Linked DNA regions of Macaca mulatta. The protein of the gene in region 2 interacts with the protein of the main gene of each other region in a pairwise test. Links are inferred from orthologs where the notes say so. Each region holds a gene or a part of one and is shown on either strand. Other genes may lie near its edges. The genes, in order: PRDX1 and GAPDH.

Region 1 (3,804 bases), on a different chromosome or scaffold from region 2:
CTCATGGAAGAAGTGCAAAGTCTGACTTTCTCTTACTGCTCATGACCTGGCAGCAGAGAAGCAGCAGCTTCAGTTGCAGTTGAGTGTACCCTAGTAACCTACCTTAACTGTTCTCAGCATTCACTTTATTGCTGGAAAAGGAAAAAAACAGTTTTTTTGGAAAGTTAGATTAGGAATATGGGAAAGGGGGAAAGAGGAATAGGTACAGTTAAGTCAAGAGTTTGAATGTAACTGTGTTTGCCTTTTGCCGTAGGATCAACACACCTAAGAAACAAGGAGGACTGGGACCCATGAACATTCCTTTGGTATCAGACCCGAAGCGCACCATTGCTCAGGATTATGGGGTCTTAAAGGCTGATGAAGGCATTTCATTCAGGTATGTCATCAGGACAAGTACCCAGTTGGCTGAAAGCCTTTTATTTGGAGAAATCTAGAGCCCTGATCTGTAGAGACTCCTTCATCATTTCATTCCTTTATGCAGGGGCCTTCTCACTAAGGCCAGGCCAGTATGAATGTGGAGACCAGTTCATTTCCTTAAGACTTCAAGCTTCTGTATTCTAACAAAGCACATCTTTAAACCTGTATTGCTTTTCCTTTCATCTCTTTTCCCAGGGGCCTCTTTATCATTGATGATAAGGGTATTCTTCGGCAGATCACTGTAAATGACCTCCCTGTTGGCCGCTCTGTGGATGAGACTTTGAGACTAGTTCAGGCCTTCCAGTTCACTGACAAACATGGGGAAGGTAAGCCATCTGTCTGATAAAAGGATAACAGAGTGGTGGTAGAATGGGAAAGATAGTAGGAACAGAAGCTACCTAATAAGAAAAGGGGTATTTCTCTTCAAGATATTGAAGCCCCTGGATTACAGTATGTGAGGGTGAGGGTAATGGAAAAGCTTGGGAAGGAGAATATAAAGACTTTTTATTCGAAGTGTACATACTCCTCTCTTCTGCCCTGCTCATTTAGAATCAGTCACTCCTAAAGATCTAACTTAATGTAGGATGATCTCACAGATGTATTAGGGCAAAACAAAATGGTTGGGAATCACATCTAGAGATGAAGCATGCCATTTAAAAAATAACTGTTGAGAGAAGAGGTTAATCCATATAGTTCATATTTGTATTTATTTATTTATTTATTTTTTGCAAGACAGAGTCTTGCTCTGTTGCCCAGGCTAGAGTGCAGTGGCGCAGTCTTGGCTCACTGTGACCTCCACCTCCCATGAGCCATCGCGCCCAGCCCAGACTAGCTTTCTAAGGCCCATTTTAGCTCTGATCTTGTGATTTAAAGAAAATGAAGTTTAGTGACTAGAGTCTGGATTAGTGGTGTATGTTTGGGAAGACCCAAAGGTGCTAGTTTGGCTAGCACCAAATAATCTTTTTACAGGGATTACTTTTTAATCCCTGTAAGAGTCTGATTATATAGGGATCAGTGAGCACTGATAACCAGGAGGTACCCTTTTCAGAAGGATGTGTGGGCAATTAGCCTGGACAGATAACACATGGCTCAGCTGACACCTGCTGAGACTGCCCCCTTGTGGGAGATGAGGTTCAGCATTAAGAAGGAGCCGGCAGTGGCAAAGTAGGCCCTTTAACTGGACTTTCCTGGGAACCTACATATAGGTTAGTCTCCCGAACACAAGCTTTCATGACTCAGAAGCTTGCTTCTTCAGACTCTATTGGTCTCTTCTGCTTCCCATCCCACTGGAACATGTACAGCTTCTTAAATAGGCACCATTCAAGAGCCTATGAATGCCAAACACTATATATATATATATATATATATTTTTTTTTTTTTTTGAGACAGAATCTTGTTTTGTTGCCCAGACTGGAGTGCAGTGGTGTGATCTCGGCTTACTGCAGCCACCACCTCCTGGGTTCAAGCAATTCTCTAGCATCAGCTTCCTGAGTAGCTAGGACTACAGGGGCCCACCACCATGCCCCACTAATTTTTGTATGTTTTGTAGAGATGCGATTTTGCCATGTTGGCCAGGCTGGTCTCAGAACTCCTGAGCTCAAGCTCAAGCAGTCCTCCGCCTTGGCCTCCCAAAGCACTGGGATTATAGGCGTGAACCACTGTGCCCGGCTGCCAAACACTTGTTTTTTTGAGATGGAGTCTCGCACTGTCATCCGGGCTAGAGTGCAGTGGTATGATCTCAGCTCACTGCAACCTCTGCATCAAGCAATTCTCCTGCCTCAGCCTCCCGAGTACCTGGGATTATAGGCGCTCACCACCACGCCCAGCTAATTTTTTATATTTTTAGTAGAGACGGGGTTTCATTATGTTGGCCAGGCTGGTATTTATTTGCTTTTATGCTGTTCTTTCCAACTTGTTTATCTTTAGGACCTGTATTGTAACCCTTTGATATCACTAAAGCCAATAACTAACAATCAGATGGAGATTTTAGGAAAATAATGGCAGCTTGTCCTTCTATTTAGCTCTTGTTCCATCTGTACCTTATGCCTAGAGAGCTGTTTGTAGAGTCTTGATATTTGAGGTTATGATATCCTTGGACCAAAGAGGGGCCTCCCTATGTCTCACTTGAGCAATTGAGACTCTTGCTGCTCCTGCTGGACTTTGATTACATGTCTCGTAGAATATGACAGCACATGGTAGTGGAAAAATCAGGCCAGGTGCGGTGGCTCACGCCTGTAATCCTAGCACTTTGGGAGGCCGAGGCAGGCAGATCACCTGAGGTCAGGAGTTTGAGATCAGCCTGGCCAACATCGTGAAACCCCATCTCTACTAAAAATACAAAAATTAGCCGGGTGCGGTGGCAGGCGCCTGTAATCCCAGCTACTTGGGAGGCTTATGCAGGAGAATTGCTTGAACCTGGGAGACCAAGGTTGCAGAGAGAGGTGGGGATCACGCCACTGCACTCCAGCCTGGGCAACACAGCGAGACTCCATCTCAAAAAAAGAAAAAGAAAAATGAGAGATTAGTCCCCTTGCCTCACTTTCTTCAGGCTAGCCTGAGACACATTCTTAGGCATTGTCAGGAAAAGGTTGAAGGCTGTGCTTTCTGTATACATTCACGAAAAATCTCAAACTTTGCCTTTTGCTTACCGAGGGGTAGATGGCAGTTACTTAATGAAACAAGCAGGGGCTTCTATTAAGTTCTTGATCCTTTATAAGGTTCAGGCTTTCCAGTTTGGTAGCGTTAGAAGAATGCTGAGAAGGCAGACTGAGGTTGCTGCCTTCAGAGTTCTGAAGGGCTGTCAGAGGGAAACAGTTTAGTGTTAAGGGTTTACATAGTTCTATGTGTATCATTTACTTAGCTTTTTTTTTTTCCCTTAAGGACTAGAGAGTGTTGGCAAATCATTTAAACTTGCCTTTTTTGTGGAAAATTTAAATTTTAAGTGCTACATGAATAAATTAGGCATAATAGTATCTTAAGGCTGTGGTGATGATTATATAATGTTTGTAAAATAGTTAGGTTACACTAAAAGGCTGAATGATCTTAGACCGATTGCAGGGGTAGGTTTCCTGGTATCTGAGTGTTCAGGCTCTTTAGGGTGCAGAACTGGTTTTGTCCATAGGAGAATGGTGGTGCATACCATTGAGAAGGTTATTAATTAGTGGTACCTTTCTTTTGCAGTGTGCCCTGCTGGCTGGAAACCTGGCAGTGATACCATCAAGCCTGATGTCCAAAAGAGCAAAGAATATTTCTCCAAGCAGAAGTGAGCGCTGGGCTGTTTTAGTGCCAGGCTGCAGTGGGCAGCCATGAGAACAAAACCTCTTCTGTATTTTTTTTTTTTCCCCATGAGTAAAACACAAGACTTCAGATTCAGCCGAATTGTGGTCT
Region 2 (4,278 bases):
AGTGAGGCCCTGCAGAGTGCTCCCCACATCACCACCCCTCTACCTCCCTCCCCACCTTGAAAGGAAATTATGGGAGAGCCAGTCCCCAGAAGGCCCAGCCCCCAGGGTTGCATGCAGGCCTGGCCGGGAGGAGGAGCCAGCCCTGCATGAGAAAGGCAGCAGCCTCAGTCCCATTCCCCAGCTCTCATACCATGAGTCCTTCCACGATACCAAAGTTGTCATGGATGACCTTGGCCAAGGGTGCTAAGCAGTTGGTGGTGCAGGAGGCGTTGCTGCAAACAAAGAGGGGGCGCAAGTCAGGGGAGCGTGTCCACAGGGTGCCAGGCTGGCCGCTTCTCCACTGGCCCTGCCTTCCTCACCTGACGATCTTGAGGCTGTTGTCATACTTCTCATGGTTCACACCCATGACGAACATGGGGGCGTCAGCAGAGGGGGCAGAGATGATGACCCTTTTGGCTCCCCCCTGCAAATGAGCCTACAGCAGAGAAGTAGACAGTTATAAACCCGGGTTCTGCCTCTGCAGGGCTGAGCCAGCTTCCCCTACCGCGGGCCCTCCTGCACTCACCCCAGCCTTCTCCGTGGTGGTGAAGACGCCAGTGGACTCCACGACGTACTCAGCGCCAGCATCGCCCCACTTGATTTTGGAGGGATCTCGCCTATGGGGTGGGGGAGACAGGGATAGGACATATTGAGGGACACGAGGTTACCATGTACCCAAGGGAGCCGCACCACCCTAGCTGCCCCCCACAGCACATTTCTCCCACTGCCTTCCACTCACTCCTGGAAGATGGTGATGGGGCTTCCATTGATGACGAGCTTCCCGTTCTCAGCCTTCACGGTGCCATGGAACTTGCCATGGGTGGAATCATACTGGAACATGTAAACCTGGGGGAATACGCAAGGGTGTGAAGGGGCTGCCTGGCAGCCAGGTGGCTCCTCCCACATCAGCTTTGGGGCAGCACTCACCATGTAGTTGAGGTCAATGAAGGGGTCATTGATGGCAACAATATCCACTTTACCAGAGTTAAAAGCAGCCCTGGTGACCAGGCGCCCAATACGACCAAATCTAAGAGACAAGAGGCAAGAAGGCATGAGGAGGGGAGGCTTCTCCACAGTATGTGAGCTGCCCTAGGACACCTCTCCATTAAGAGGGCGAATGCAGCATCTCCTTACCCCCAACATCTCCTTACCTCCATTAAGAGGTGAATTGTATCTCCCTTGAGCTCCCCTGCCAGGCTGGCCTGGCTTTACGGCATGGCTGCAACTGAAGGCTCCACTGCTGCCTAACACCCCCCGTCATAGGAAGCCCTTCCAGGAGAAGCGGCCATGTGGGGCACTGCCACCCACAGTCTGGGCACAAGCTTTGCACGTGGCATTCAGCACCTCACTATGCCACCCCAGGAATGCTTGCTGCTGCCTAGCTCAGCCTCAAACTGCACCGTTTAAGGAGAAAAGATTTGTACACTCAGCATCACCAAACTCAAAGGGCAGGAATAAAGGTCAGAAATTAATTGGACAGGGCAAGCCCACCCCTTCTCTAAGACCCGCCTACAAAAGGGACAGAGATTGGGCCGGGGGAAGAGGGGAAGTTGTTTTTTAACCCCCTAGTCCCAGGGCTTTAATTTGCAAGCTTCTAGTCCTTTCCTAGCTCTTTTCCAGAATTCAGGAGTGGGAGCACAGGTGTGTGCATGTGTGTGGGAGAAGGGATGGGAGACGGCCCAAGCCCAGGCCCCCAGTTACAGAAAGGTCAGCAGCTATATTTATCCTCAGACCAGGGTGCGGTGGGAGATCTGGTTTCTGGAAGACGGAATGGGGAGAAGGGCAGGTTTCCCGAGGCTCCCAGACACCCAATCCTCCGGGTGACATTTACAGCCTGGCCTTTGGGGTGGGGTCAACGCTAGGCTGGCAGGGGAAGAGGGGGGCCATAAGGTGAGCCGCCGCTGCAGAAAGGGGCCACCGCCAGAGGGGCCATTTTGCGGTGGAAATGTCCTTTTCCAACTACCGATGACTCAGCTCCCCCCGGCTTGGCACCAAGCCACAGCCACCACACCTCTGGAGGGAGGGGACACAGGAGGACCTCCATAAACCCACTTCTTTGATTTACCAGAGAATTATCTAGAAAAAGCATCACCCGGAGGGGAAATAGGGCTTGCAGCTCAGGGGCCGACTTGAGAGCAGGGGCCGGGAAGCCTCGCTCCACCTGACTTCCCCGCCACACGCGACTCCACCCACCGAGGCAGGAGCGCAGGGTTAGTCACCGGCAGGGTTTCCTAACGGCGGCCCATTCATTTCCTTCCCGGTTGCAACATGGCGGCCGCTCTACCGCAGGCGCAGCCTCCGGACTGGGATGCACCCGCTGCGCACTAGCATCCCGGGGCCTGCGGTGCCGGAGGCCATGGGGGAGGGGCTCCTCTGCGACACGTGACCTCGCAGAGCGCGAAAGGAAAGAAAGCGTCCCCAGCTAGGGGTCCGGGTCGGATGGAATCTCGGGCGGGAGTAGGGACCTCCTGTTCCTGGGGACTAGGGAAGGCAGGCCCCGGGCAGATGGCGCCGCAAGGGCGGAGCTGCACAGGGCGCCACAGCCTGGGTGCGGGGCTCCGCCAGGTCCGAGCGCTGACCTTGAGCTCTCCTTGCCGGACGCAGCTACCCTACCCCATACGACAGCAAAGACCCGGAGCCCGCAAGGCTCGTAGACGCAGTTTGCGGGCGGCCCAGGGCCCCCCAGCCACCCACGAACTCACCCGTTGACTCCGACCTTCACCTTCCCCATGGTGTCTCAGGGATGCGCTGCGCGGAGAGAGAGAACAGTGAGCGCCTAGTGGTCCCGGTCGACACCCACGCCTCCCCTCCCCTCCCCTCCCCCCACCAGCCTCCATGCCCAGCCCGCGCCGCATCACGTCCTCCGCCCGCCCCTGCAATGCGGAGGCAGCCCGGGCCCGGACCCGGACCCTGGCCCGCGCCCACCCCGCAGCGGCGCGAACACGTCCGGCCCACGCCCGCTCCTGCCGCCTTCAGGCCCGTCCCTAGCCTCCGGGCTCCTCTCCGCCCGTCTTCACCTGGCGATGCAAGAGAAAATGCGGCTGACTCTCGAACAGGAGGAGCAGAGAGCGCAGGGGGAGGCTGCGGGCTCAATTTATAGAAACCCGGGGGCGCGGCGGCAGGCGGTGACTCTGACCCCGCCTCCCGCCGGGCTCAGCCAGTCCCAGTCCAAGGACTTGAGGCCTGAGCTACGTGCGCCCGTAAAACCGCGAGTAGCGGGGCCCTGCTTTCTCCCTGCTCTTTTTTTTTTTCCGCAGCCGCCTAGTTCAACTGGGCACGCATCAAGCGTGTGGGCCCCGACGGAGGGGGGAAGGGACTGAGACTGGCCCGATGGGAGGTGATCGGTGCTGCTTCCCAGGACTGGAGTGTGGGCAGCAGGAGACTAGGGAGTCAAGGACGGGGGCCCTTACACGCACGGATGAAACAGGACTTTGGGAGCGACTGAGATGGGGAATTGGAGCCCGAGCCCTGCACGGCTCGCGGCTGCACGCGGCCTGCCCCCTCCCCTTTCTTTCAAAGGCTGAGAGGCGGGAAAGTTGGGGAACTTCTCCTCGAGGCTCTGCGGTAGTGACACCGGAATAGCTGAAGCAAAGGGCTAGGAGGGGCCCGTGGGCCCTTCCCAGCCCCCACTTCCCCCTCCCCATCTCCTGGCTCCTGGCCTCTCTGGGACCGAGGCCTGGCCTGGGCACTGGGCAGTGGGGGCCTGGAGAGGAAGGAGGCTCGGGAGGCGGCTTGAGGGGGAGGTTTCTACACGGAAGGTCACGATGTCCTGCAGCCCTGTAGCTTGGACCTGATGATTAGGGCAGACAATCCAGGCCCTGTGTGCACCAGCGGCTCTCCCCGGGCTGGGGCCCCAGGCGGAGGACAGGATGGCTGGTGGGGGCCCAGAGGCCTCCCACAAAGTCACTCCTGGAGCCCCGTGGGCTGTGCTGCCTAGGGTGAGAGACAGTGTGCTTTTCACTCCATCCAGCCCGGGGCGAAGAGCGGGACGTGAGGGCGGAAGTGCCTCCCCGCCCTGGGACGTGCAGGCGAGCCAGGAGCCAGGGACTCCCCTTCACTGGCTTCGCTGGGGGATATTGAGGGCAGGGTGAGTCAAGAAGAGGGAAAAAGTGGGAAAAGAGGTCTTGGGCACATGGTGGGAACAGGCCCCCTGCCCCTTCCCACAGGGTATCCATTTCTCTGGTAGGAGGGCAGAGGGCCAGGTTTGTGAGTGTGGGATGGGAGCGTGCTGAACACTTG

The links.
Region 1: the proteins of GAPDH (region 2) and PRDX1 interact in a two-hybrid assay, tested with the Homo sapiens proteins (2 studies listed by BioGRID and IntAct, with this or other methods). The link is inferred for Macaca mulatta from reciprocal best matches to the Homo sapiens genes GAPDH and PRDX1.

What each region holds. Positions count from the first base shown.
Region 1 is NC_133406.1:195,098,732-195,102,535, forward strand, and holds part of PRDX1 (peroxiredoxin-1), read left to right. Parts: intron 1-253; coding exon 254-376; intron 377-612; coding exon 613-743; intron 744-1,100; exon of another isoform or gene 1,101-1,827; intron 1,828-1,948; exon of another isoform or gene 1,949-2,134; intron 2,135-3,597; coding exon 3,598-3,683; 3' UTR 3,684-3,804. UniProt on the Homo sapiens protein: Thiol-specific peroxidase that catalyzes the reduction of hydrogen peroxide and organic hydroperoxides to water and alcohols, respectively.
Region 2 is NC_133416.1:7,484,622-7,488,899, reverse strand, and holds the start of GAPDH (glyceraldehyde-3-phosphate dehydrogenase), read right to left. Parts: upstream 3,100-4,278; 5' UTR 3,057-3,099; exon of another isoform or gene 2,965-3,056; intron 2,788-2,964; 5' UTR 2,771-2,787; coding exon 2,742-2,770; intron 1,067-2,741; coding exon 967-1,066; exon of another isoform or gene 944-966; intron 886-943; coding exon 779-885; intron 657-778; coding exon 566-656; intron 476-565; coding exon 360-475; intron 273-359; coding exon 191-272; intron 1-190. UniProt on the Homo sapiens protein: Has both glyceraldehyde-3-phosphate dehydrogenase and nitrosylase activities, thereby playing a role in glycolysis and nuclear functions, respectively.